Schizosaccharomyces pombe: one gene and its partners. The gene in region 3 interacts genetically with the main gene of each other region. Each region holds a gene or a part of one and is shown on either strand. Other genes may lie near its edges.

Region 1 (9,171 bases), on a different chromosome or scaffold from region 3:
GATCGGGTGAAATGCGACACATGTAACAATCTCATTGTGCCTGAAAACCGCCAAGGATTTGGTTGATTTTGGATGCCAAAGCCTAACGGTTCTATCCGCAGAGCTAGTTAATAAAAAATCATTTTTGCTCCATGAAATGGAAAGGACTTCTGCGTTGTGACCTACACATTCTAGGACAGGTTCAGGTTCAAAAATGCTAGAAGGGGTAAAGAAACGACCACAACTTTGAGGACCTTCTTTGAGTAAAGTTTCTCTTCTTTCTGGTGTTTCAATTACTTTCCACACACGAATTATTGCATCTTTACCAGCGGTGGCCAGATATTTTCCACTTTTGCTAATTTCGGAGGCCCACACAGATTCTTTAAATTGAGAAGGCTCCCATTGCATAATTCGCTTGCCAAAAATAGTTTTTGACTTTGGAGCATCAGCCGGACCTATAACTTGAGAAACGTAAAGTTTTTGATTAAGTGTGATCTCCTTTTTGGGCATTCGTTTACAATGGACGGGAACGTAATGTCTCTGTCTTTTACTATCGATCTCACCACGATCAATCAAGTTCAGTAGAGATCGATCATCATCTCTTCCGGCCAATTTTTCCGTGTTTGGTGAATTCGTCTCGGCATACGTAGTAGAGTCTCGGGGTGTGTTAACTAAGCTAGAATTGTCATCATTATATTCGGTGTTCATACCAGTGTCGTTTTCTACATCTTCATCTTGTTGAATTGTTAAAGGTCTGAAGGGTCTTTTTTGAGATCTTGTGGATAATCCACGTACAGGGGTGGCAGGCGGATGTTCATCGTCTGTTTCTAGTTTGTAGGCATCATTGCCTGTACCAGAATCACTGCCGTTCACAGACACTTCTCTAGAATGTACTGACACATTATCTTCTCTTCCGGTCTCAGCAACCAAAACGCGCATCTCCAATGCAACTTCTTTTTAAGGTATTATTTTATATGAAAGTTTCCAAACAATACCCAAATTAATTCAAATAGGGAGGTCTTGAAAATGCAAACAAAGCGGAATTAGGAAATTAAAGAATAGGGAAGAACGAAATAGGAGGGATATAAAAACGCAAAGTAGATTGGGCAATCGAATAATATCAATGATGAGGGAATATTTTTTTATTGAGCAAGATAGAAAAGAAATTCGAGTAAAAAGGGAGATTAAAGGTGGATAGGAAAAAAAATGGAGATAATTAAATTTTGAAATTATTCGCAGAAAGTCGAATGCTTGGGAAATGCTATACACAAACGCTGTAGATGAAATACCAAACACGAGCAGAACTTCGGCATAGACTTTTTGTGAAATAAAAAAGAAACTTAAAAAGGATGCAACGAAGAATGGAGTGAAGCTATAATCAACAAATCAATCAATCAATCGGTATATGCACTTAAAATTTGAACCAGCAAATACCACTCGTAAAACCAAAGATGAAAATCAATAGATAAAGGATAAAAAAGAAAAAGAAAAAGAAAATTTTTAACAAAAAAATAATTTTGAGCAGAAAAGGCGTGGCTGTTGCTCAAATTGAATTGGAATTAAAATCTCTCTCTACTGTTTGCTTTTGCCGCTAAAGAAATTTAAAACGCAGACTGCACCAAGAGAACAAAATTTGTGTTTCAATTCCTGTTATAAACACACAATTTAAGTAAAAAAAGCAATAGCAGTGTAAATGGTTAAATTTCCGTTGTTTAATTCATGTCATAATTATATATACTCAGAATCCCATAGTCGTAGTAAGAAGGTAACAACGACTGGCCAGTAGCGGGAAACGCATTTTAGGGAACAATCCCTCGATAGTAAGATAAATCCATTTTTTTGAATTTACTTCCATTAATTAATAAAATCGAAGCAGAAAATCTGATTATAACTAAAAGAAGACTATTATAAATGTTACTTTCTTCTTTTTTTCATCATTATCTGCGGTTAGAAAAAAAATTAGAAATAAAGGATTCGATCTTCGTCAATATGACATTTTGGGGGTGTAGGGCTAATGAAACCAGCATGTTGGGAAATCCTTCAAAGCCACGATTTTTATAGAATCTTTTAAATTATAAATTCCTTTTTAAAATATATAATTGAATTTAGAAATGGCATAAAGGAATTGAATGAAATTTTTAGATTGGTTCGCAACCTGGATGGCAACCATTTGTTTGTTGTAAACAATACCTCTTTATGCGGATGCTTCTTTGTAAATAAAAGAAAATGAACATAAAGAATCCTTGAGAAGAAAGAAATCATAAGAAGAGTGAATTTGAACAAAAAAACAAGTGACATAAAAAATATAAAATGAAATAAATCGGTTTTCTTTGTTATCTAATTGTTAAAAAGGGCTGGTCGGTAATTAAATAAATGACTGCGTCCCACCAAGAAAAAAAGAAAGACCATTCCATTTTAATTTCAAATTCACACGTTTCTTTTATTAGATTTTACTTTCTTTTCAAATTCTTCCTTTATCTTTGCTCCAAGTCAATGAAACCCTTTGATTAATTTTTTCGATTTTTTTTTTCTAACATTATTATGATTTTAATATATTTTAATGGATTTTTTATTGTTTCAGAAATTTTTCGTTCTCCACTCAGCTCTCAGCTCACATTGAATATAGATCAAAGACAATTGTCTAAAAAAATAATAATAAAATAATAAACATCCGAATATCAATTGAAAACTGTATCATCCTCATTTTCTCTTACTATCCCAACCAGCCTTTGATGATAAACATTGGCAGAAGCGGCGGCCCTTTAACTCTAATGCGGGAACTTAAAATGTACCAACAATGGATCAACTTTCGTAACTTGATATATCTTTTAAAAATCGTGTAGATATTATCAATTGCACATATTCTGGAATTCCCAATTCTTCTTGTCTTGTCTCTCATATTACACAACTTGTTAAGCATAGACTAATGCATCTCGTCATACAACGTTAAAAGATAATACTGTGTCAGTGAATGAAAAAAGGATGATAAGCTGAATAGAAATGAATTTCAAAATCGCCGTATTTAGATTAGAAAAATTCCTTGCAATTTTGCTTCACCACCTTATTGTCTTGTTTACGTTTGTATCCAAAACATCGATTCATTTCTGTGCAAGCACGCGTCCTTTTCCTTTTCCTTTCCCCTATAATTAAGCCAATGTGTTTTTGTTTTGTTATAATTCCATATTAGAAAAGGAATCTGCAAAAAATGAAGTCTAAACACTGTCCAAACAGTCCAGTTCGCTGAGAAGTTTAAGTTTATTACTCTCAAAAACAAATTCAATGGTGTACAAAACTGATCATCATTCATCCCTTGAGACTATAACGTTCTCGTTTTTTGTTGATCGAGCTCAATAATAAATCATTTATCATTTATCAATGATACGTTTTTTCAATAGCGATTTACTTCAATGTCAAACCATGGTTGAACAAATCGTAAAGCCAATTTTAATCTTTGCTTTTGGTTTATCGCAAAATCAAATCTCTGTTTTCTGATTGAACTTCAAGAACTTTTTTTTAAACTATTATTTTATAGGAATTATTAGATTTGTGAAAGCTGACATCAAATACGGACTTCTTTCAAAAAAAAAAAAGGAAAATCATTTTCTCCTATCACAAGTATATAATCCCAAAAAAAAGACTTTCCATCAAATTGCAAACGCTACAATGGTTCCATATCCAATTTTCCATTGATTTATTTACAATAAAAAAACTACTTCCATCCAATCCTCTTTGCTCAACACGCTACTTATCGTTATGCGATTATAATGCTCACATTCACAAAAATTCCTCCATGCTTGATTTACCGAAATGATTTAATCCTCATTATCCATGACTGTGAGGAATAGAGACGTCTCCCAATTCTCCCTTTTTCTCGCCTTAGCAAATACAGCAGGCGGGAATGCTTCAGTCGTTCTACTATTGAGCAGTCACGGCATCACTGGGCTACGCTCTTGTGGACCAGCGCGCCAAGAATCGCAAATATTAAATCTGTCGAGAACGACGAAGAAAACGATCTTGTTAGTAAAAAGTGAAGATCTAAAAGAAAATATTTCATAATGGGCAAGTTGTGTTTTTGATCATGAGTTATTAATAATAGGTCCGAAAAAGGTTTGTTTAGGTAATTAGGCATGTTTGCTGAACGATATCAGAGTACGAAAATGAGTTTGAACGCCTTTTTGGGTGACGAGTCGTTTGGTTCGACTAACTGGGCTGATGATATTGATGATTTGCCAGCTTTGCGTAAGTATTTTGTTTTTTATAATGGAAAATTTTGGATTGAATTGGAGTGGGGTGTTTTTTAGGAATCCGAAAATTTCTATTAATTTTCGGCTCTCATTTTTGGGCTCCATCATTTTTCTATTTAATCTTTTGAAATTGCTTAGCTAACTCAATTTATCTATTAGCCCAAGACCGCACCACATCTACGTATCGTGCTACTCCTAGCTCTGCTGACGCCGGATACAATGCTCCTTCTTCCACGTTTGAGTCAGTTAGAAGTCCTCCCGAAAGCCGTCGCGAGGGTGGAATGGGAAGTGGTTACCAACGTGATGCCATTCCCATCCCTTCTGAACCCCCTTTTACAGCTCATGTTGGAAACTTGAGTTTTGACTTAACAGAAAACGATTTGGGCGACTTTTTCGGCGAAGGTGTCACTAGCATTCGCCTCGTCATTGACCCTCTCACTGAACGCTCTCGTGGCTTTGGATATGTTGAATTTGAGACCGCTGATACCTTGAGCGCCGCTTTAGCCTTATCCGGTGAGGATTTGATGGGACGTCCAGTCCGCATCACTGTTGCAGAGCCTCGTCGTTCATTTGCCCGTGAAGAACGCTCTACTGGTGACTGGGTTCGTCGTGGACCTCTTCCTCCTGCTGAACCTGCTGAATCTCCGTTTGGCAAGAGACGTACCAACAGTGGTCGTTTCCGTGATCCTGCTCGTGATCCTTCCGATCGTGTTCGTGAAGAGCCACGTGAATGGGTTCGTCGTGGACCCCTTCCTCCACGTGAATCCTCTGAGCGCCCTCGTCTTAACTTAAAACCTCGTTCCTCCTCCAACGTCAACACCGAAGCTACTCCCTCTGCTACCACTACTACATCTTCCAAGCCTAAAAGAGATCCTTTCGGTGGTGCCAAGCCCGTAGACAATACATCCGTGCTTCAACGTGTTGAGGAAAAACTTGCCAAGCGTACTCAGAGCTTCCGTCGCGAGGACAATGCTAACCGTGAGCGTTCTACTTCTAGAAAGCCTTCCGCTGATAAGGCTGAAAAGACCGATAAAACAGATGCTATTGCTGAGAAAGTATCAGATATCCGTTTAGGAGACGGTGAGAAAAAGAGTTCCGAAACTGATTCGGAGGTCGCTGCGACTAAGACTCCTGCCACTGAGGATGCTCCTGCCACAAACGCTGGCGAAGCAGAAGAAGAAGAGGGTTGGACGAAGATTGGCAAAGGCCGTAAACACTAAACCTTAAAAAATGTCAATTTTATGTTATTTCGCTTTGACATAAATATGGAAGTAATGTTAATATCGTTGTTTTGGGGTTCTCTATATAATAAAACAGGTATAAATAAACACATACACTTTTCCATTAAATCGAGAGATTAGCTGCTAACTTATATTTTAAGATCTCTTGTTTGTTTCTGTTTTGATATTTTCTGGTTCCGCCCATCGGCTTTGCATCTGTTTCAATTGCATATAGAAAAAAGCGGGTTGACTAAGCATACTTTTCGTTGATTTTATTCTTATAATGGTGCCTTGGTCGTTTTAGGTTAAATTTATAGTAAAATTTGTTTTGCACTTATATGTCGATGTATGTTTGTTTTTTGTCATGTAATTAATAGTAGTATATATTACTTTGCCGTCTTAGCAAAGATTAATGGTCATTAAAAGTCAATACTATCGTATGAAGTGAACCAGCTATTTCAACGGATATGAGAGTTATATTGTTAAATCTTTATGACAAATGTGTTCTTAAAACTTGCTATGCCTTTGAACACAGGATAAAAACTTATAAAAAATATGACCCCTAAGTGACTTGAACACTTGACTTTGAGATTTGGAATCTCACACTCTACCAACTGAGTTAAGGGGCCTTCGCTTGATCTCATAAATATTTAATATTATAGATATTAAAAAAAAGAATGTACAGCATAAGTTGTAATAATGAAAGTCGAATTGGTAAAGTCAAAACTGCTTAAGTAGTCAGTTGAAAAAATTAGCTTTTCTTTCAGCTTAACCTAGAAAGCCTTGGTGTAATTAATGAAGACACAAACGAGAAAGTTGCTTCAAATTACAACATTAATGGATTTTGCGAATCCTTACACTCTCCATGTAGCACTACATGCTGAAAAAATAACAAATGGTTTTGGAGCAGTTATAACAATGGAGTACAAAAAAATTTTCTAAAATAGTTAAAATTAGTCAGTTTAAAAACCCTTATTTTTTCTTAACTCGTCAAGTACACCAGCAATCTAATTTCGCGCGTAAAAATTTGTTTCACAATCTGAAAAAAAAGGTACCAAAAGACCAATCATCAAGGCAAGTGTACAGCTTTAAACCATTCATGATATTGCTACAAAATACTAAAAGTTATTTCAAAAATTTTTCAGAGGCAACCATTTCAAATATAAAAAGTATAAAGAGGAAAAGAAAACAAACGATAAGTAAATGAAACCTAATTTTATTCTTTTAAATAGCAAAAGCAGAGGAACAAAACGTAAGGATCCTTTCCAATTTAGCATAGATTTATGAGACATACCATGGGACGATCACTACGCAGATACAACCCCAAAAAAGGAAATTTTAGCATTCTACCAAACCCAATGCAATTAGGGATAATAGAGCCTGAACAATGTCAAGCATTAAAAAGTATAACATATGAAAGCTCTCAGAAACGGGTAAGGTGGTTAAGACAATCCGAGGGATTAGACTGAATACATGGGTGAAAATAAGGGAACGATTTATGGAAGAAAAAAGAAAATTTTTTATATACGTAGACCTTTATCCAATTTCAAGAAATTTTTATATAATTAAAAGAAACTTAATCTCGAGGCTTGGAGAATTCACATCGTAAAATCAAATTGTTCCAACCGTAACCATCCAAGCGATCACGAGCCTTGATAGCACAATCTCTATCGTAATAACTGACAAAGGCAAAACCTTTAGCACGACCAGTTTCCTTATCCTTTGCCAAATATACACGTTGAATACCACCAAAGCGACGGAACAAATCACGAAGTTCCTCTTCACGGGTATCATCAGATAAGTTAGTGACACGAAGAGTGGCACTATCATCACGTTCACGTTTGAACATAGAATCACCACTCTCACGCCCTGAGCCAGCACGAAGATGAGGAGCTATATAACGACCCTTTTCGCCCAAGGCACCACTAGCCCTTGAAGAAACAGGACTAGCATCCAAGGGAGGCTCATCAACAGGTCCAATAATGCTCTTGTAAGGACATTGAGCGGTAAAATGGTTACCCTTACAAGCACGACAACGAACCACAGAGCTACCCTTTGCCTTAACCTTAGCGGCAGCCAAAGCAGCCTCATCTTGCTCCTCTTCCTTCGTAGTAGTCCAACCAAGTTGAAGTCTTAACTGAACATTTTCGCCAACACTAGTGGTTCTAGCATCAACACCACTGTTCTTGCCTGCTTCCTTTCCGAATTTTTTCCATTTCTTACGCTCCGCCACAGCGTGTTGCACCCGCTCCGTAATAACGGTTTTCCGTATAACTCTGGTAACCTTCACCTTTTTGCCATTATCATCAATGCGAAATTCAATCATGGTTTTTGTGCCATCGGGATTATCAAACGTCTGAATCGAAGGCAATCCAGTACCATAGTCCTCATCGTCAGCCCAATCCAGTGATTTCCTACTTTGTTAGTTTCTTTCACAAAAAAATATATTACATACGATGAACTCATTTTATAGACAAAAGATGTTTGAAGAGGGTGAGCCCTTCATCACCAGAAAATTTGTTGTAGTGTTGAATTAACATACATTAGTAGAAGTTTGATATACCAACATAGCAGTCTACGTTGCAGTACACTACTTGAACTTTTCTTAAAAAGGAGATGATACCTTGCGACTAAATTAGTTTAAGCTTTCTGTTGCTACTATTAGAAAAAGCGGATGAAATTGTGGATTTCAAATTGAAGGGATCGTTAATAACCAGGACAAACTTCGCACCGGTCATCTCAATTCAATCGTCAGTTGAAGCCATAATCTGCAGATCTCTATTACCGATCACTATAAATAGCCAGGTTTTGCAATACCATCATCTTCTATTATTCTGTACAAAGCTCTTTAAAAAATTTCTCAATTCCCGTTAATATAGATATTATCAAAATACAAAATAAAAAAATAAAAACCCAGCATCATTGAACTGGGTATAAGAACATCTAGCTAAAACACTATAATCATACCCGGATGGGAATTTGGTGCATTCATAAATCTAGCATTCATGATTAAATAAGGACAAATGTTTTGTTGTAATAAGAGAAAATGCTCTGAAAAAAAGAAAAGGAATTCCCAAAGGACTTAACAAATCTAAGTTAAAGTCCTTAGCACCAACCAAGGCGGCTGATTACTTATAGCGTTGCAAATTTGAGGTGTCATACCAACTAAAGGAGAATGTCGAGGTAAATATATAAAAGACTAAAGGCAAATATCCTGCAAACATTTTATCTAAATGACTTTACTCGGCGTAAGCGGCGTCAATTTCCTTCTTGAAACGATCCAAAATTTTGCGACGCTGTAATTTCTGAGCTGCAGTCACCAATCCATTTTCGGGTGTAAACTCAATGGGAACAAGGACGACGTTTTGAATAAGTTCGATATTAGCGAAATGATGACTACGACCAATACGAATAAGGTCGTCATAAACAAGTTGACGAACTTTCTTGTTATGACAAACTTCCTCCCAAGAGGCATCAGGACTAAGACCGGCTTGTTCAGTGGCAAGTTTACGAACGACGGGCTCGTTGGGAACGATGATTGCCAAAGGCTTCACCTTGGTCTGATCTGCATATACACAGATATTCGAAACAAGACTGCTCGTACGATAGCGAGATTCAAGCTTCTCCAGTGCAATATACTCGCCATTTTGAGTTTTGACGAGGTTTTTCTTACGATCAATAATTCTAAGCAATCCTTCTGGAGTCAATTCGCCAACATCACCAGTACG
Region 2 (8,241 bases), 1.3 Mb from region 3:
TAAATCTCTAAACAAATCTGATCCAGCTGTCAACTTTCGAATTAATAAAGAATTATCTTTCAAATCAAATTTCCTTATAATGTTTTTGATTAAAGACTAAAAATAAACGGTTTCGTTTAAATTCCACGTTGTGGTAGTTGTAAGATACTGTAGGGTTATACTAGCAAATCCATCCGTTCACGATGTATATATTTTAAGGAGTTAAAAGTTTGTTCATCGGAGTTTTGAGGGATATAGCATTATGAATTTTGTTTCATAGTTATATCTTCACCGCATCTTGTTAAATCTGCGTCAACTGAATAGTTGTTGGTGAATTGTTGTTAACCTTTGTTGTTGATAAAAAATTTTCCTTATTTGAATCTTTAATATGATAGGAATTCATTTTTTGGATATTGGATGTAGCTTCTGGATAGCTGTCCATGTACCCGACAAGTGAAAGCATGTTCGTTGACTCATTACAGTCCTCATCTTGGAAATGTGAGGGCTCAACTGTTACGTACGTAAGAGTTGTACAGGTTGTTGCTCTTGCTCTTGGCACAAAGTATGCATTACTCAGCTTTTTGTTGTGAAGCATGTCTTGTATCTTCTTCAAGTTGGTGGCTGTTGAACCCATCTTAGCAGACCCTCGGTTATTTAGTTTTGTGTTAGCATGGAATACCAATGGTTTTAACAAGTTTCCTTGTTCTCCGTCATGGCTCAATTTTCCTGCTTCTTTCTTTATATCCAAGTTGCCTGATAACTGTCCACTAAGTTCCTTATTTTCTTGCTTACAGTTAACATATTCATTTGTCTGACTGGGTTCTTTGTTTTCACCAGTCTTAGGCTCATTCTTATTTTCAACCTTACTTGAAAGGGTCGTGGGATTCTCAGAGATTTTGTTTGTAGAAGACTCTATTGGCTTTCGGATGGTAACAGTAGAGCTTCTTTCTGGTTTGACGAACAAAGCTTTGTTGTCTTGCTGCGCTGTTTGTTCTGAAGTAGGTTTGTTTGCAAAAAATGCTTGCAATCTACGAATTCTGTCAGACTTTCGCTCCGCGAAGCAAACGAAAATCCTTTTTTTCCCAACCATCATTCCATTCAATGTGTCTTTGGCTCTAACGGCAGCCTCTATTTGACGAAACGCTACGAAACCATAACCTTTGGAGATTCCTGAATTTGGATAGCATGCTAACATGGAAGACAAAATCGACCCGAAGGGTGAGAATAAATCTTCCAGCTGACTCTTGCATGTGATGACGGTATCATCTAAATTTTTAACGTATAGATTTGAAGGGTCAATAGGAGAATTAGGGATACTTGGAGAGCTTTCACGTAAAGAGTCCCAATGCACGATTGACTGAGGTTTATTATCTGGGTTCCAAGCGGCTGGATGATTTTGCTGATTTGAAACACCGGTAGTTGAAACGCTACCCCATTGGCTTTTCTCCTTAGTTGGTGAGCCCATAATCCATGTCATCTTCGAACATGTAGCATTTTCGATATTTATTTGAGTTTTGTTAGCGTTTTCCGATGGGAAAGGCCATAAGCTTTCACCAGTCGGCGTTGTGGGAATTGACTTCACTGAAGAAGAGGCTTTATTTTTTATACTGACCTCTAAAATGCTTCCTTTGTATGGAACGTTATTTAATTTTTCTATTGCCTTAATAATGAGGTTAGTATCATGAAATAGATTATGCAAATATTGGGGTTTTCTCTTCATATTGAGCTTACATTTTGACATGATTCAACTGAATCCATAATCACTTCGCCATACCGGAACCCTCTTTGGTCAAGAAACTGGCTGACCGCCGTCCCTTTTACTACACCAGCCTGTTTAAAGTGGTTATATAAGTCAATCGGTGTGACTTCGGCAGGTAGGTTCAAGATACTAAGGGGTAACGTAGAAGCGAAGGCATTTGGTACAACTTGCATGCTAATATCTTCCAAACCAAGAGACGGTATGGTAAGCGTTGTTTCTGGCTTCGGGTTACGCGAATTTATGCCTCTCACAGTTTCCCAATTTCTTTCTTCGACATTTGGAATAAATTCCTTAATCTGAGACTGTTTGAGTCCTGGCTTAACGTTTTCCTCATCTGTATTGTTTTGGATGCTAGGATTGAACACGTTCGCAGTGATTGACGTATCGTTAGGTTTGAATTTTTTGTCTGTCAGTTTCGCAGGATTTACGACTCTTGCTTTAATGGTCCTTTTTTTTAGGTTAGTAATTTTTTGGAGAATGATTTTTCGATTTTTTTTTCTGTAATGCTTGTCTCTAATTTTTCCCTTCAGTCACTTACAATTTTCTTTGGCCCAGAGTCATTCCTTTAGCGTCCTTTAGAACTTCTTCAATGCTTTCAGCATTAACGAATTTGACGAACCCATATTGCACTCCATTTTTAGGAGGTTTAAAAGGTTTCGCTTTTTCCTTAGGATAAAAACTATCAAGTAATCGACGAAAGATGGATTCTACTTGTCCTAAAGAATTGATTAATATATCGCTTTTATTTATGTTTTCTAATGTTTTTCCTCGTGTTTTTATCCTTGACTTGTGTGTTCATACCATATTTTGAAAAGTGTTTGATGATTTCTTCATCAGAAAGTCGGGAATCTATATTTCCTACATATATAGTACTGCTTTCATCTTCATACTGTCCGGGGACAGAGAGTTTTGAATTGTTCATTTTATCTCAAAAAAGATGTGTGATGGAAAGGAATGGTTGTTGTTTTTGGTATATATAGGATCGCTGTTTGTTTACATTTCGATGATGCATGACTGAAACTATTACCACCATAACAAATGAGAGTAAACAAACCTTAAATTGACCTCTTAACATTTTTAGAGTAATATTTTTTGTTTTTTTTTAAAAATGCTTGTTTTATATTTACAACTTGATTTCCTAATATTCATGCAGTTTGGTTCATATCTGTTTTATCCATATCTCTACTAAATCCTCAAATCGCATTTATAATGACATTTTATTTTATTTTATTATTAAAGTCAATATTACCTGCTCGCATTAAAAAATATTTCAAATTCATACCATCCTTTTTTCGGCTTTCGCTGATTTCAAATTAAAAGTTGAATTTCCTTAAATGAATCAAAAAGCAATTAGGCTAATATTCTGGTGAATCCATTCATAAATTTTCAATTATTGTTGTTTTTGGCAAACCAACTGATATCGCACAACCTGTCAATAAGTTAGGTCAATCAGTTTATTACTCAAAATCCAGATGTTACTAAATTCTTTCATCTGCTTTTTTCTTTGGTTTTCTTTGATTTTAGAAGTATGATAGTTTAGAGCTTTACTCGCCTATATTCTTTGCTAACTAACTATACAGTATTTTACTGGCAAAAGGTAATAGATTTAGATAAAATAAGTTTGAATCGAATGACCATTAAAGTAAGTGAAAAGCAATAGGTGAAGATTTAGTGTAATCATTAAAAAGGTTATAAATGTTAGCAGTTCTCCAATATTAAGAGCAATTTATGTAGCTCATTTCAGTTCCTTCTAATCCATTTTAGACTTAAAGCTTCATTCTGTCGAATACCGTTTTCTTCAAATACTTGTATAAACCTCGGATTTTGTCACTGTTTATGAACAATGAATTCGTCTAAATTAACAAAATGCAAAATTCTTTGTTTTTTTGTTTTTATGATTGTTTGACTGAACAAATAAATAAACATATACAGATTTAAGGGTTAACAATATCCAATGATTTTCCAAGAATATTATACTGCTGGGTTAAGGTATTTTGATATAACATCTACGACACTACTCAATAGACACAACTACTATACAACCTTCGGGTGCCATCAGACAACAATTATTCACTATAGTATTTGTTTTAAGAATTATTAACTTATTAGTAAATGTTTTATTGTGTATTTGGAACTTTAACTAATACTATCTAAAATCCGGTAATCTCGTTCCTTTTTGGCTTTCGAATCTAGTGTGGTTCATATGCGATCCTTTGTTGTGATTAGTTTTTCATAGGCTCAGAGAAATTATGCTAAGATTTGGAATAAAAACATGGAAGCGCTCTGTGTTGGCGATACGCAGGTCGTCGACCGCTCCACATGTGCAGATCATCTCCAATTTGCAAAAAAAGCTGCTCAATGAGCTTTATTCTTTGAGAAGATTAGTCGATGACAATTCTCCTGCAACAATTCGTGTAGGAAATGTCTCCCTTTTGCTTTCCAAATCGAATATTAGGAGGAGGATTGCGCTACAGGCGTTAAGCTCTTCTGCCGAAGATGTCGCGTGTGTCAAACAAATCACACATGCTCTTCTCGCTGCTCCCTTTATGCCTGAGTCAAAAGAATTGAAATATGCCATGGATCACAATGGACTAAACCCACTTTATATCTCGTTTGGCACAAATGCTTTGTTTGAGCGAAATGCTAGGTATAGTACGTCACATTTATTTCTTCCAAGCGACTTCCTACAAGTCAATAATCTTGAAATTATTCACCTTCCTCCGGGAACAGTGGACTCTGATATTTTGGCTAGTTGCCATGCTCGATATATATGTTCTACTTCTTATTTAAGAATGACCTCCAGTGACTTTACTACTGCAGACACGTTGGTGCTCGATATTGACCCAAAGTTGCATTCTCTTTTAAAAAATGAAAAATCTATAATACCCGTCTCATCATCGGCTGCATTAAAAGCCACCAAAGCTCTGCAGGATGATCCCCACAACTTTCAAAATTACCAAAATCAATGGGAGCAAAGTGGATTTCAACAACTACGCACCAACATGACGCCAACAAGTGATTTAGAAATATGCAAACGTTTTCTAAATTATCTTTGCTGCTCCTTTTCTCTAACAAAAGCCGAGAAAGATCTCGTTCGCGCAACCGAATTTAGCAATTCTATGCTGATATCGATAGAAAAATGGGCCAAGTACTGTGATGTCGATCTTCAAGAGTTTGAAAAGAAACTTCAAAAGTTTTGGAAAAATTTTGGTACATTGAAATTATATTCCAACATTGAGTCGTTACCTGCAAGTCTAAAACAATTAATAAAGGATGAGTACTTACAAAAATCAAAGCTCGAATTGTCATTTATTTTAGGTGAGTTGTCGAAAAACGGTGACGATAAAAATAATTTTGAACTCGCCATGAAAGATTTTGGGACATTTCAAAACTCCCGTATGAGTGCTGTAGATCAAGCCTTACAACCTTTACGTCGAAAGACACTATACACAACTGCTTTTCAGGGACTGGGGGCTCTTGGATCTCTTTATTTATATTTTGTCTCTCATTTTTCTTTGTACAACGCCTTTAGCGTATTTTCTGTTTGTGGCGTTTTCGGCCTCTACTATTTACAGTCCAGCTATAGATCTTGGAAGAAAGAGTATTGGAAGGAATTGTTGGAAGAAGGTCGGAAATTTGAAAGACAGCTTTGTCGTAACGTTTTTGGGCGCTCTAGTTTTTATGTACAGCAGAAAACTGCAGCTGAAAAGAAAGAGCATATTTCTTTAATTATGAAAAAGTTGACGAAAACATTGGACCTTATGAAAGAATTTCAACTACAGTCAAGCTTTTCGGATAGCCCTACAGCCTCGAAAAAGCAACTTCTATGAACTTTTATGACTTAACCTATCACCCCTCTCTTGATTTAGTAACAAGGTATCGAAGTTTTATTTCTTCTGAGTTAGATTTAACATTTTTTAGGAGTAAAATAATTAATTACCTTATCTAATTTCACTTGTTAAAAATAATAGTATACGAACCTATTGTTTAAGGAAAACTGTGTAACAATGATAACTGCTCGCCCCTTAATACATATTGGAGAAAGAATCCCTTTTTTATAATGTAGTAATCAAATTACAGCAGAGTTAGCGATTTCAGTAAAAAATATTCGTGATTTTAAGTCGAGGTTTTTGGAAGATTCTAATTGTTTTCATGTACAGTAGTAGTAAAACTAGCTAGCATAAATTAAGCAGCATCCATTCAGTTTTATTTAATCAAGATTTCAAAAAAAATCGCAAGGTACCAGCTTAACATTTATACACTGTAAGCACTGTAGTATTCTTCATTAGCTCCAATATGTTACCACCAACTATTAGAATTTCAGGTCTGGCTAAAACCTTACATATACCATCTAGAAGTCCCTTGCAAGCTCTAAAAGGCTCATTTATCTTATTGAATAAGCGTAAATTTCATTATTCGCCGTTTATCTTACAGGAAAAGGTACAATCCTCGAATCATACCATTCGGTCTGACACCAAACTATGGAAACGCCTCCTAAAAATTACTGGCAAGCAAGCACATCAATTTAAGGATAAGCCTTTTTCTCATATATTTGCATTTCTTTTTTTACATGAGCTAAGTGCTATACTACCTTTACCAATTTTCTTTTTTATATTTCATTCACTCGATTGGACGCCCACTGGGCTACCAGGCGAATATCTTCAAAAAGGTTCTCACGTCGCAGCTTCCATCTTTGCCAAATTAGGATATAACTTGCCTCTCGAAAAAGTTAGCAAAACTCTCCTTGATGGTGCTGCTGCTTATGCTGTAGTCAAGGTATGTTAGTATAAATCGCCTCAATGGCATATATACATGTACATAAGAATTTTCGCCAAAATGATTTAGAAGCCCATATTTAGCGTATCTTCAGGTACAAATTTGATTGGCCAAATTTTCGCTAATAAATAAGCTTATTTTGTCGAAAATAATATGGTGTCTTCTACGCGTCCGTTTGTTTCCAACTAACATTTTACCAGTTACTTCTTCCACTTCGAATTTTCTTAAGTCTCGCGTTTACACCTACATTTGCTAAAATAATTTCTAACCTATCTTTTAAATTGTTCAAAAAAAGAATATAATGGCGAGTACATTTTCACAATCGGTTTTTGCGCGTTCTCTATATGAAGATTCCGCTGAGAACAAGGTCGATTCATCAAAGAATACTGAAGCCAATTTTCCTATTACACTTCCTAAAGTTTTACCTACAGACCCGAAAGCTTCTTCCCTTCATAAACCTCAAGAACAGCAACCAAATATCATCCCTAGTAAAGAAGAAGATAAAAAACCCGTAATTAATTCAATGAAGCTGCCATCGATTCCTGCTCCTGGGACAGACAACATAAATGAATCTCATATCCCACGTGGATACTGGAAGCACCCCGCTGTAGACAAAATAGCTAAGAGACTTCATGATCAAGCACCTTCAGACCGGACGTGGAGCAGAATGGTATCCAATTTATTTGCTTTTATTAGTATTCAATTCTTGAATAGGTACTTACCGAATACCACTGCCGTAAAGGTTGTTTCTTGGATACTCCAGGCACTTTTATTGTTTAACCTGTTGGAATCAGTTTGGCAGTTTGTTCGTCCACAACCTACTTTCGACGATTTACAACTAACCCCTTTACAGCGAAAATTAATGGGTCTTCCGGAAGGAGGTTCGACTTCCGGCAAACATCTTACCCCTCCTCGTTATCGTCCAAATTTCAGCCCTTCCCGTAAAGCTGAAAACGTTAAATCCCCCGTCCGTAGTACTACATGGGCCTGAAACATTTTATTTATAGGGTTGTTTTAAGAAGTTCTTAATAAACTAACTTACTGCGCCTTGCTATGTTTTGTCTTACATGCATACTTTCATTTGTTCTGGACAATTTCTTTGTAGGGATGAATTTCTTTTTAACTGCTTCATTTCACCGACGCTTTCGTTTATTTATATTACGTTAACTCCTTCAGAAAATTGCTTAATGGGTTTCATGGTATTGTTAGTCGCAATAAGATCGAAGAAAACTTTTAATTATATTTTTTAAGCTTTATCAATTGAACGTTTAGAAATTTAAAGTGTTTGTAATATAGTCACTATTGTAATTCAGATTTGATTTAAGTATCGTTACAAAGCACCTGAAAATGACAATTTCTCCATAAACGTTAAATATTGGAATAAATTAAACCAAAAAAAGTTGTGGATTTCTTATGCATCCACTGTCATCAACTGAGACATCCCACTCAGTAACTTCGGAATCGATTATCTTACGTATTTTGATGCTTTTACGCGTCTGCTCTCCATAAATATTAATCCGCTCCACCTTCAAATGCTTTTGAGAGCTAGAATACTTAGGAGAAACGGGAGGATTAGAATGACTGTCCTTCATCGTTAAGATTCCATTTTCATATGAGAAGTGCCTAATCAGATATTCTCCCTTCTTATAATTAAAAGTTACACCATCATCTAAGTACAAGAATCCAGAAGCGTTCTTGCCAATCTTTGACACTGCAATGGTCAAAGT
Region 3 (8,307 bases):
GTTTCTATGACTATTTTGACTATTTGCAAAATTTTATTGAATAACTTCGACTGGAATTTTTTTAATTATAATAATTCTGCTATTGACAGTTATGCGAAATGCACGTTAAACTTAGACTCGGACTTTGAAAATGGCATATTAACTTATGAGATTTTGTATAAAAAATGCAAATGTTCGTTATTGTCACTGTTAAAGCAATACATAAAAGATTCTCATGTTCATCATGAAGTTTTATTAATATCTCTTAATCTTATCAAGGAAGCTTCAGACACCGAATTTGAAAATGAGTTTCTTGATCTATCCTTACAGGGATTTAAAGATAATTCGTGGAGTTTTCAAACCCTTGGTAGTTTTGTAAAGCAATTGCCATCAAGGATTTTGATTAACTCTACAGCTTGCGTCAATGTGATTTTGGATAGGGTAAGTACTTATGATATCCAACGTACTGACTATGTAGATTTGGTGTGAGCTATGTATGTTTTCTTATTTCAGAGAAGAGGAGCTTTTATCTGTTATTTGGACCCTCCAAGAGAAACTTCAAACTAGAATAATTGAATCGTACTTTTCAACGTGCATTGTGAAAGAGCAACTTGAGCTGAGAGCTCCAACGATATACTATACACCTTTCTATAATCTTTTAAAGAAGAGTGGTAAGTTTTTCTTGTTTTCTTTTCTTTTTTTACTGTTTTCTAACTTTCAAGCTCAACAATCTCTGTTTCATTTCGTTTTTGACAGGCCCCTATTACTTTTATTAAATTCATTATTAGAAGATGAGTCTGGGAGAGATTATACAGCAATGATGAATTGGATTAATGCATCAAGTTCTTTGCAATTACGTGTCTTGGAACTTATGACTGAAAATTTATTGAGTTTATCTCCCAATCTAACCAGTGTCAATTCTCTGGAAACGGCTATGACCAGATATAATATAAATGAGGACCAGAGAAATAGTGAAGCTAGTCGATGTGTATATTTTCTAAAACTTTGCACTCGTATAATTTCTTATTTTCAAGATCTTCATCCTAAAGAAGGAAGACTTAAGAGTGCGAAGCAGGTAGAGGAACTATGCCTGGTCACTTGGGCTGACGCCCTTTTGATTCAAAAAAAATCTTTAACTTACTCTTCATTTCTTGCTTTTTTAGTCAAACTGTGCTTAGATATAGTATTAACTCCTCAAAACATAAAAACGAGCACAGATGTGTATATTATTCAAACCTGGGCTTTGCGATTGCTTTACCAAATAACCTCCATATGGGAAAACCCTCTAAAATTTGAATCTAGTCTAATCGTTGGGTTGTTTGCGCTTGTACAGGAAGTTGAGCGTTCTCCTTCATCAACTTATCGAAGTTTTATTTTGAGTCTTTTGCAAATGCTAGAATTTTTACTCTCTCGATTAGATGGGACTATAGATCTTTCCTCTGAACAGCATTATCTGTTGTCCAATTTTGTTTTGGTTGGAATGTTGAATGATGATCCAGGACTTTCGCCAAAGTGGCTACATGCTATAAAGAAGCTTTTACCTCTTCTTTTACAAAACCTTCAACTTTTGATGGTTAATCCCATTCAATCTTTGTGCAAATTTGTTCATTCATTTCTTGACCAACACGAGTCTATGTACCTAAAATACCCTGACCCAGTAAAAGATTATGCGTGCATGGATGTTTTTATTGCTAAGTTGAAAATGCTTAGCGAGTTAGTTTCAGCAGCCTTATTGGAATTCACATATTCACCCGGCCCCAAGAAAAGTAATTTAGAAGCCAATGGTATCATCGGAAATGTCATTTCTGGTGTGTTTGCAGCGGAGTCGTCAGGCGTTAGCATCGATGTCAACAAGAGATTATCTATGCTTTTAACTATGCAGGATGCTTTGCAAACATTATTTTTATCATATTCATGGCATATTCGGTCTTCATATGCTGATAAAACGTCAAAAGTATTTATGAATGATTCATCGGTTTTAAAAGAAGCATCCTTATCGGGATTAAAAGAGTTTTACTTCTGTGAACCTCTTGAATGCGTAGAAACGCTGGTACAAATCTATTTGGAGAACAATGTTGAGTGTTGCCAGTGTATATGGGATATATTTTCATTTCTTAGTGATTCTGAACCTCAGTACATTGTTAAGCAATTAGTTTCTTCTTTTTTTGCACGTGAAGGAATAGCTAGTTATGCAGGGCCTTCTAGTTTGACAGCAAAGATTACACAACTCGATATTTTATGCTGTATGTCTGACTTCGTCTCCAGAGTGGAGGGCGAAAACACATCTAAGATTTTTACGGAAATTTCAAAATTTGTTCGGGAGATTATTTCTTCCTCAAACAGCTTTAAAAACTATTTGCTGGTATGTTTACGAATGCTACTGGAAGTTGCAAAAAACGTGAACACTTATTGCGAATCTCGCCAGCAAAAAGACTTTATTGATTTGATGGGGAAAACATTGTCCTCAGTCTTATTTCATGCAGGAAAATCAAGTGATCCAAACCTAACTGTAGATTTTCTGGCGTATCATAAAGCTGCTGCAGACACGTTTGAGGTTGCCAAAACACAAAAGAAAACTAGCTCCGTGTATTTATTCGTAAAATACTTAGATCCCTCTTTGCTTGACTTTTTCTGTTCTGAGTTTGTTCCAAAAATAACCGAGCTTTCTAAGGAAGAAGATAAACTAGTTGCTTGGGCTACATCAATCGTCAATGTATTTATAACTCCTTTAGTAAAGGCTAGGACATTTCCGGAATCACTCACCACTTATCATTTGGACTTATTGCTCGTGTTGAGTAAACATCCGTTTTTGAGTAAATCATGGAGGCGCGATTTTTGGGAAATTTTTAATGATAATTCACTGTTCAGGTTCGATATTGATCAATTAAGAAAGCTTTCTCCAGTAATATACACAGCTTTGTACCAAGAGATATCTAGATTAAATGATCTCATAACAAAATCTGATTTAGGCGTTACTACTTTATTTACATCTCGGGATACTCAACTAGGTGCAAGGCAGAGCAACATATGTCGGATCACAATATTAATGTTATCTTCTCCACGTGATTTTTTCCTGCCTAGTCTTCCACCTCTGATTGACCTTGTCAAACGGCTTATAACGTCTGATCCTGAAGGAGTATTAAAAAAGGACCTGTTTTTATTTATTAGAGCTCTAGCTTTAAGGACCTCTTCGAAGCATTTGCTTCCATTATGGCCAATCGTTGTTAGCGAATTGTTGATCATTTTTAAATCTTACTGTATGCCAAATGTTGCCATTTCTAAAGAGACATTATTAGACGCATGCAGGCTTTTGGATTTTTTAACTGCACTCAAACTTGAAGAATTTGCGCTACATGAATGGGTTGTGATGCTTAGTCCACTAGATGCTGTCTATTGGAGCGGAAAAACTAGCCGTAAATCCCTCGTACAAAAGGTTTCTGAGCGACTTCAGGAGCAAGCATCGGAGAAGGACGACAAATCCAGTGTTGAATCCGAACATTCTATTCTTACTTCAACTACAAGAACCCCTTCTTTAGGCATTTACACAACGGACGCTCAATTAAGAAACTTTTTAAATCGCATTTCTATAGACGCTTATGAAGAAAGCTACTCGTTTTCAACAATCGACATACAATCTTTTGAAAATTCTATTTACAGGGAAGTTCTTCAAAGGTTTTCTAATGCTCCCCTATCTCCCTTTTCTTCAATTAAGGCTCCATCAAGCCTGGCTGGCTCCAGTAATTAATTCATAGTATTTTATATCGATTAGGAAGTCTAGGCTGTGTGGCTTCTTATGTAACTTCCAGTTACTCTAACCTAATTATTTTTGTATGTATTTTCTTTTCAAGTTTCAATGTTTATATTCGGAAAATGGCTATAGGGTTTAGTTTGCAAATACTTTAGGAACCATGTTGGACATTCATTTAAAACTGCTTTAATTTATAAAAATTGTTAATTAATGTTGTTTCTTAATTCATTGCACATAAGATGGAAATTAATGTAAGTTAAGTTTTTCATTTCAAATACTAATATTATGAAACCAACTTACGCAATCAAGGGCAGTCCGTTAAATCCGATGCCAATAGTTGTAGTGAATTTTTAAACCAGAAAGCACACCGAATATTCAAGATATTTCACTCCAATCGTAAATATTATTTTGGTTATATATCCTATTTAACATTTAAAACGATTTTTATCGATTGATTCACAATCAATTTTATTTTAGCATGGTATGTTCATCCATAGATAAACGTTTGGCTGACGACAACAGCCAAAAGCAAAAAAAAGAGTCAGTCTAGCGTCAAAAGCATCAAGTCGTTTACCGTCTTCTGGTAAACCTAGCCAACAAGCTAGTATTCCAAATGTCGAGTTATCTTCCACCGTTACTTCGAATAGTCAAGTGCTCAACAATGATCCGCTGAAAGAAACAAAGAAAGATAAACGGAAAGACCGTCATTTCAACTGGCAGCAAAAATTTTCTAATCCAAAAATATCTGCTTCGGCTCGTAAGCGCCGGAACCGTAAAGCCAGAGAAAACCTGAAAGTCAATGTGTCTTCGATTGGAGAAGTACTTCCAGAAATTGATCTTGATATTTCGGTAGCTAACTCCAGGTTGAAGCCCGTAATTAAGGATAGTTTATCTTCTAAACAAACTAAGAGTTCTATGAAACGAAATACCGTTGAGGAAATCGAAAGGTTCCAAGCCATATTGAAGCACCCTTCATTCGTTTCAAATCCTTTGGAAACGGTACGGGAGCACTTAGGAAACTCTTTGGATAGTAGATAAATAGAGCATGCTCATGTCTAGGTAAATTTGGAAGGAATTTGAGTACACTATAAATGCATGATTAATTTGGGGGGTTTTCTTTGGGAGGTTCTTTTCATACTTACTGATTATGTTTTTACAATAAAAAAGTCTACTGATCTAGTTTGTTATTCAGTATGCAAAAAGAGAGCTTGATTTATTTATTTATTATTAAATTCATGTTTTAAACTTTTGACTCAACAACTTAATCAGTAAAAGATGGTGAAATTTGTTCAAACCCATTACGATTCCCATGTAACAAATAAAAGTATATATCCATAATAAAATTTTAAGTAACTTTCTTACTTTAAGTAAACCCAATTCAGCGAGACGGTGCCATTGTGTTGCAAGTCCGCAAATGACAATGTACTTGCAATATTAAACCATTAGCGCAATAAAAGAATGAAAAACATATTATATGCCAAGCAAATAATAGAACGGTAAATTGATACGCCCTAAAGAAAGAAATTTTTTGAAAAGGTTGCAGATGTAATACCTACACATATGTGACAATAGTAACTTCAATCATTTCCATTTAATCTGGATGTATTGTCGGGATGTCACTACGATCACTTATGTTAACATAGGCCAATGATTTAGAAGCTTCGGCTTCTATCCGAAAAAAAACCCAAACACAACGTCGGAAAACTTCAAGAAATTGCATTATAAAGATCCCAAAGTCGGTGGTAAAAAACGCGGATTGATGTTCAGGCAAAACGCGAACTACCCAGGCCATTCGCAAAACAAAATCAATCGCACTTACAACTGCAAATGTGAATGTTGGGAATAAACGCCGAACCCCAAATTTCCAGTTTTGGATTGATAACGGTTGCTTAAAAAAGGGAAGACTCCAATCCATTGAAACATCCCACCAAAATGAATAAGTTGAATTTATAGCTGAAGAGGTATTCCATAAAAACCATAGAAAGCTAAATCTTTTCTTTGCAAAAATCCCAAGGAATATCGCTGGAAAAGCAGTGAAATACTTGATAGAATTCAATGTACTCCAAAATTTATCTGATGAATTATCCGCAGAGCTTCTTTCAATCAAACATTGACGAAATCGGATAGCGTATGGATACGCTGCAATCATTGACATAATAACCTCATTTTCATATTGTTTTCTATGAGAGTTATTAGGTGAGTCAGTTACGTAAATCAAGATTGCTCCAGCTAGCCAGAGATCAGCAATGACCCTCGAGTAAGAAGTCAATAAATCAGAAAATATAACATCGGGAAATTTGTAATCAGGTCTGTAGCTTCCTCCCAAAATCCTTAGACACTGTCGAGTAAACACCTTTCTCTGGAAGAACCAGAACTTATGTACAGGCATAAAAACAATAACACCAAAAATAAAAACGGGGACGTATGCCAATTCATCAGACCCAGAAATCAAATATAAGGATTCGGCTATTACGAAAAGTAGAGTACCTAATATAGATAGGGAGAATGACAATTGCCATAGAGGAGCATTAGCTTGCTGTGATCGATTGACAGGCAACGGAGTATGTAATAATGAGAACACGTCGACCCTATTTATCACTAATAGATGTAATATCAATGTGAAAGAATAAAGACCAAATACGACCAAGAAGAATAATCTCAATACTAGAGGAAAATAATTGATAAAGTGATTCAAATCCTCTATCAACGCCATATTAAATAAAAGGGAGAAAATCTGAAATAATATATTAAAATAAACTTGAATGCAATTATACAATGGATGAATTTTTACAAAGAGAGACGCAAACAGTGTAAAATATGTCGAGTCAAGTTGTACAGCCGATCTTCTAATTATGATGATAAAACTTGACTCATAAATAATGAAAATTATCAAATAAAGGGTTCTATGATGATAGAGATTAGCATTACTGCTTGAATGTCGAGAGGTGCGTTGTGGAAATGAATGCAATAGGGTACACCAAGGTAAAATCTTAAATACCACCACAGCCAAGAATCATGTTGGTCTCTACAAAGAATGGTGGGATTTTACAGTAAAACTTAAAACATGAAAAAGTAAGGTGAATTTTTAAATATATGACGAAACTTGTGTTATGCTGAATATTAATATTAAGCTGACAATGAGTGGTTTGGTTTAGTAGCATATAGATGATGCGAGTAGAGCAAATGGGTTACGCTTAAAGTAGTATAACAGATTTTGTTGAATGGAACATCAAACGAATCAGGTTAGAAAATGATCGTAGATAAATTTGATGGCTCAATCATCTGATAACCGTTCACACCTCAATTTACTAATTATGCTTGAACTCCTTAAAAAAGTCTTGAAGTTGATTCACAATCCTTTAATAATACAGATTGACGGTTTTCGAAAAATGGAGAGCAAATGCTTATTCATTACTTTAAAAATTTATCGGCGCATAGCGCTTGGAGAATGCCGAAAATATTTGAGTCCAAGCCAATTAAAGAATAACCATACGAAAAAAACCACTGTACAAGTCAGAATTAATATACATGGATAATAAGAACGAATAGGTGAAACCTGTTAAAAATATTAGAACCAAATTTGTACAAGATAGAGAAATTAAAACATATTGGTACAATGACCCTGGCAGAAAATATTCGACGATGCCATTGAGATTTTAGCATCATAACTTACATCGCCATCAACATAAAGTGGTATCTCAACAAAGTTAAATATAGTCATAAGTCCAAATACAAATAAAAACCAACAGGTAAATAGCAGTAAGTATCCATTAGATACCATCGAACCCATCATTTTAACCGTATTGATAGGTATCTTCAGGCACGTTTTAAACAAAATATGATGAGTAGTAATTTAATTATAACCAACGAAACCTAACTAAATACCTTTTATAAAGAATCTATACTAGTTGTACAAGAGCAAACGTTTCGCAGAGACAACAAAGTAAAAGTACAGAATCTCCTCAAATGTTAAAGAAAAAAGGAGAATTAAAAGAAAAACATTAAAAGAAAGCCTTAAAAAACCGTGTTAAACTAGATCTGGGATAGTATTGCCCTATTTTGAAAGTTTTCCCGTTACTGGGATTTTATGAGGTCAAGGAAGCTCGCCTTTGAGAGCTCTTTGACTTTTTGCTCACGAGCAGTACGACCACCAGAGATGTTTTCTCTATTTAAAGAGCTTTGAAGTTGAGCAGTACGAACAGCATTGAATAATTGAACTACACCTCTGCGAGCAATACGGCGAAGCTCACGTTCATGGGTGAATAAAGCTTTTGCTGTTTCAGCGTTAACTGCAACAACGCTCGTAACACGACCAACCATCTCTTTTCTCAATCTTTCACGTCTTCTAGAAGTACGTAGTTTAGAGTCTTTTTTTTCCGCATTACTTTTTCGTAAAGCTTTTTTAGATTTTTTAGACAAACTTAGAACCGGCGTGTCTTGTTCATCAGTTTGAGTAACTTGTTGATTTAAGATATCAGCAATGTCATCAGCAATGGTACTTTCTTGAACTTCTTCTTCAATTTCATCTTCAGAACTATTGGATTGATAAAATTCGTCTTCGCTGTTCAAGTCTTCCAACT
Region 4 (3,921 bases), 2.4 Mb from region 3:
CCGAACCGTTCATAAATGACACTATCCACTAAGTCCCATACTAAAATACTTTATGCTTACAGACGAGATAACACCATTAGGGTATCTATTTAATAATTCGAGAACAAAATAAACATGCTGCAAAACAAACATTACTACTCTTGTACGCATGATAAATATATATATATATAATTGGTTGATAAAGTGAAATTTTATTTGAGTAAATGTTCTGCGTCCTTTGCAAGCCAAATTGAGCTAGTTATTTCAAAGGTATTGCAATTTACTCATTGCTCCTTAGTGAGGGCGCAAATGGATGAGCCTATCTATTTACTATTTCTCAGTTAGCAAAAAATACAAAAAATTTCAGTTATATTAGACTTACGATCTGGCTCTCATCTTTCTTCTTTTACGTTTGAGACGACGCACGCGTTTTTTCCTCCATTTATCACGCATCTTGGCAGTGGTAAAAATGTATTGTAGGCCACATGTTAGATATACGAAAATGTGACTGTTTCTTTGGCTCTGGCATATGAGATAGCGTCGTGCTATATGCAATAACATATTATAAAAAGTTCGTTAATTAAGTTTGCTGTCAGCAATACTACACTACGCTATGATACACTACGTTGAGTATCACTATATGTCACATGTTCTAATTATATATCGTACCATGTATGATACGATATGGAGATTGATCTTAATGATAATCTATTAAGATCAATATTATCTGAATACTATAAATAGAGCTACTGCTGAACCTCGTTCCTCAGTTCAGTTATGAGCTATATTAGTGATAGGTAACATTATAACCCAGTTAATACAATACCTATACTCAGTTGCTACTTATACAACCTGTGTATTGTAATATAATAGATCACAAGGAAAACTCACCGCAGTTCTACGTATCCTTAAATTAGATACCAAACTGCGTAGCTTACATTTGCGTAATGTTTAAATTCCCTTTTAAGCTTCTAAATAAATTTGAGATTCCACTGTGGTATGTCGCACTAAAGCTGGAATGATATTGCTTTATAAGTAAATTGATGGAAATACTGTTAAGTAGCTGGCTTTTAGTTCAACTGATAAGTTTCAAATGCTTTAGCAATGAAATTTCAAAATTCTGTGGAATTGATCGCAACTTGGACTTCAATACGTACTTACGTTGAGCACAAGTACGAATTCATTTTAATTCCACAATCTTGAAACGAAGAATAAATTGAATAGCATTTATCCATTATTTGTAATAATGAAAACGTTTTTTTGAAAGAATAAGTTATAAAGCTATTTTATAAACTTAAACTCGTTTCGTAAAGTGTTTTAAAATTATGCGTTGTTAAAACATACGCAGAAATGCAATAATTTATCACTTAACAAAAATAGCTAAAGGTGGGCTTTTAGTTTCGAGTAAAGATTGTTATTTCCTAATGAAGTTCTCTTTAAATTTTCTTCCATTCTTCCCTTAATGTTTTGCAGAGGCGTTGTTCATTTTAATTTTGAAGAAAGAAAGTTACCGTTGAGGTGCGCATGCTTACGGAAGCTAGTGGTAATAGAAATTATTTTATAAGTAAACTGTATTATATGGGCAAAATAATCTTTGGAAAAGTCGTACGCTCAAAAAACTTGCCTAAAGTGTTGTTAAAAACTTACAAATTCAACTAAAAAGATACAGTTTAATTATTAATAGAATGAACAACAAACGTACTATGCCAATACAAAACCAGTGATCTGAGAAAACTAAACAAATAAATTTTGAGGATATCACGATGTAAAGAGTAGCCCTCCTATCCTTCGTAATTTCAAGACATTTTGAGAATAAATAGAAGTAAAAAACCAAATAAGAAATTATAGGGAAAAATTATGCTGCAATGATTATAGGTGCTGTAGAAGCATCGTTATCAACTTCCATGAATTCATCTTCATCATAGATCACCCGGACAATCAAGCTGCAGCTTGGGCAACGAGCAACATCTTCCCCTAATTGAAGATCTTCCTAAATAATGAATTAGTATAAACTTCCAAAATATTAAGAAATTGCGTATCAATACATACCAAAGATATCTCGAAGCGATCCCCACAAGGACAGGGAAAAGTGTACAAGTTCGTACCGGCGTCTTTTAATTAGCAAAAGTATTCAACTTTTAACAAATACATACCAAACGTGAAATCTTCTAACTCGATTTCGTCGTAAAATGACATTTTGCCGCTTCAATGCACTACTGGCAGAAGGTGCGTGGCCACTCCACCAAAAATTTGTTTTATATGTGGGAACCGCCCATAATGAAAACTACAAGCTAAGTTTAACATAAATGGAATCTACTGTAATTTAGAGGAGAACGATACTTACTTGTTACCGTTTTGTTGTATTTTTTAAAACGTCCGCCTATATTCATTTAGAAACTATAAATGCGTTACAAATCTATGTTGAGCAAATTTGATTGTACAGTTTTTATTTTCGCTTTATTACATGAGAGGAATGAGTTATAACATTACTCATGAATGCGACGCTATTAATATTCTATCAGATAATTTACATGAAGGAGCAATATCAGAAGATATGGTTGCCCTCAGTGGTCCAGCCATAGAGTTACTAGAAAATAATGTTGGTAGTTCAAAAAATAGCTATCAAGAAGATGAGGGAAGTTCTTCGATTGATGAGAACGCGCCTCTTATAAGCATAAAACGAAAGAGGAGAATTCGTACGGTTAAATCTACTTCAAATAAAGAATTAGTGCAAAGAAAAGCATCGAAACCTACTAAACAGAAATCTGTTTTCACACCACTTGAGCAGCAATACTTAGAATTGAAGAAAAATTATCAAGAAACTATTTTGGCAATTGAAGTAGGATATAAGTTCCGATTTTTTGGGAAGGATGCAAAAATAGCCTCTGAGGTGTTAGGAATTAGTTGCTATTTTGAGCACAATTTTTTAAATGCTAGTGTTCCCTCGTATCGTATTGACTATCACTTGGAAAGACTCATTAATTTTGGTCTCAAAGTTGCTGTTGTTCGACAAACTGAAACAGCCGCTCTCAAGTCAACTAGCTCTAGCAGAAACACTCTGTTTGACAGACGAGTTGCTCGCGTGCTTACCAAGGGGACTACTCTAGATGATAGCTTTTTTCGCTTTGAGCAAACACAGCATGGTACACTACAAGCTTCCCAATTTATCCTATGTGTTGCAGATAATGTTGATAAGAGCAAAGCAAAATCAGGAAGAGTTCAGGTTGGACTAATTGCCATACAATTATCATCTGGAACTACTGTTTATGATCATTTTCAAGATGATTTTTTGAGAAGCGAATTACAAACAAGACTTTCTCATTTTCAACCTTGTGAATTGATATATTCGAACAAGTTATCTTCCGAATCGGTTGCCCTACTGAATCATTACGTATCAACTGAAAAAACTTGCGGTAGAGTAGTGCGTGTGCAACATGCTGTTCAGCAGGACGTGAAACTAGCATTGGAGAATTTGCAGGACTTCTTTTCTTCTAAATGCATCATGTCCGGTAGCAAAATTATAGAATTACACATGGAAAAGGTGAAGTCTTTACATTCTCTTTCAATCATTTGTTTGGACATGGCCATTTCTTATTTGATGGAATTCTCATTGGAAGATCTATTCGTTGCTTCAAACTTTTATCAACCTTTTGATAGCATTTCTTCTATGGTTTTAAGTAAACAGGCTTTGGAAGGTCTTGAGCTTTTCGTTAATCAAACAGATCATACACCTGTTGGTAGCCTATTTTGGGTGTTAGATCGCACATACACAAGATTTGGACAAAGGATGCTTCAGAGATGGCTTCAAAAGCCTTTGGTTGATAAAGAAAATATAATCGAGCGTCTGGACGCGGTTGAGGAATTAGCCTTTAATTCTAATAGTCAAGTTCAAGCAATTCGTAAAATGCTGTATAGATTGCCCGATCTCGAAAAGGGTCTGTC

What was found.
Region 1: mutations in slx9 (region 3) and sce3 together harm fitness more than expected from each alone (negative genetic interaction), as found in Schizosaccharomyces pombe (one large-scale study listed by BioGRID).
Region 2: mutations in slx9 (region 3) and pom34 together harm fitness more than expected from each alone (negative genetic interaction), as found in Schizosaccharomyces pombe (one large-scale study listed by BioGRID).
Region 4: mutations in slx9 (region 3) and dph3 together harm fitness more than expected from each alone (negative genetic interaction), as found in Schizosaccharomyces pombe (one large-scale study listed by BioGRID).

Annotation. Positions count from the first base shown.
Region 1 is NC_003423.3:1,771,761-1,780,931, reverse strand, and holds sce3 (translation initiation factor), read left to right. Parts: upstream 1-3,962; 5' UTR 3,963-4,034; coding exon 4,035-4,038; exon of another isoform or gene 4,039-4,075; coding exon 4,076-4,086; exon of another isoform or gene 4,087-4,127; coding exon 4,128-4,218; exon of another isoform or gene 4,219-4,382; coding exon 4,383-5,443; 3' UTR 5,444-5,763; downstream 5,764-9,171. Other genes in the region: SPOM_SPBC18H10.05 (WD repeat-containing protein), read right to left, coding at 1-918; tif307 (translation initiation factor eIF3g), read right to left, coding at 7,020-7,857, 7,899-7,909; long-chain-fatty-acid-CoA ligase Lcf1, read right to left, coding at 8,683-9,171.
Region 2 is NC_003424.3:1,792,313-1,800,553, forward strand, and holds pom34 (nucleoporin Pom34), read left to right. Parts: upstream 1-6,701; 5' UTR 6,702-6,815; coding exon 6,816-7,505; 3' UTR 7,506-7,741; downstream 7,742-8,241. Other genes in the region: poly(A)-binding protein Crp79, read right to left, coding at 281-1,639, 1,711-2,185, 2,277-2,454, 2,540-2,660; protein Mmc1, read left to right, coding at 3,988-5,568; mrx11 (uncharacterized protein), read left to right, coding at 6,035-6,523; glucosidase II alpha subunit Gls2, read right to left, coding at 7,900-8,241. UniProt on the Schizosaccharomyces pombe protein: Has a role in meiosis.
Region 3 is NC_003424.3:493,966-502,272, forward strand, and holds slx9 (ribosome biogenesis protein), read left to right. Parts: upstream 1-4,091; 5' UTR 4,092-4,205; coding exon 4,206-4,208; exon of another isoform or gene 4,209-4,249; coding exon 4,250-4,765; 3' UTR 4,766-5,062; downstream 5,063-8,307. Other genes in the region: dop1 (family protein DOPEY), read left to right, coding at 1-420, 458-650, 702-3,724; erd1 (EXS domain-containing protein), read right to left, coding at 5,319-6,440; SPOM_SPAC227.19C (uncharacterized protein), read right to left, coding at 7,152-7,283, 7,401-7,520; rRNA processing protein Rrp15, read right to left, coding at 7,802-8,307.
Region 4 is NC_003424.3:2,853,488-2,857,408, forward strand, and holds dph3 (diphthamide biosynthesis protein Dph3), read right to left. Parts: upstream 2,208-3,921; 5' UTR 2,176-2,207; coding exon 2,133-2,175; intron 2,091-2,132; coding exon 2,029-2,090; intron 1,970-2,028; coding exon 1,835-1,969; 3' UTR 1,682-1,834; intron 1,604-1,681; 3' UTR 918-1,603; downstream 1-917. Other genes in the region: rpl4102 (60S ribosomal protein eL41), read right to left, coding at 303-309, 362-432; msh3 (DNA mismatch repair protein), read left to right, coding at 2,444-3,921.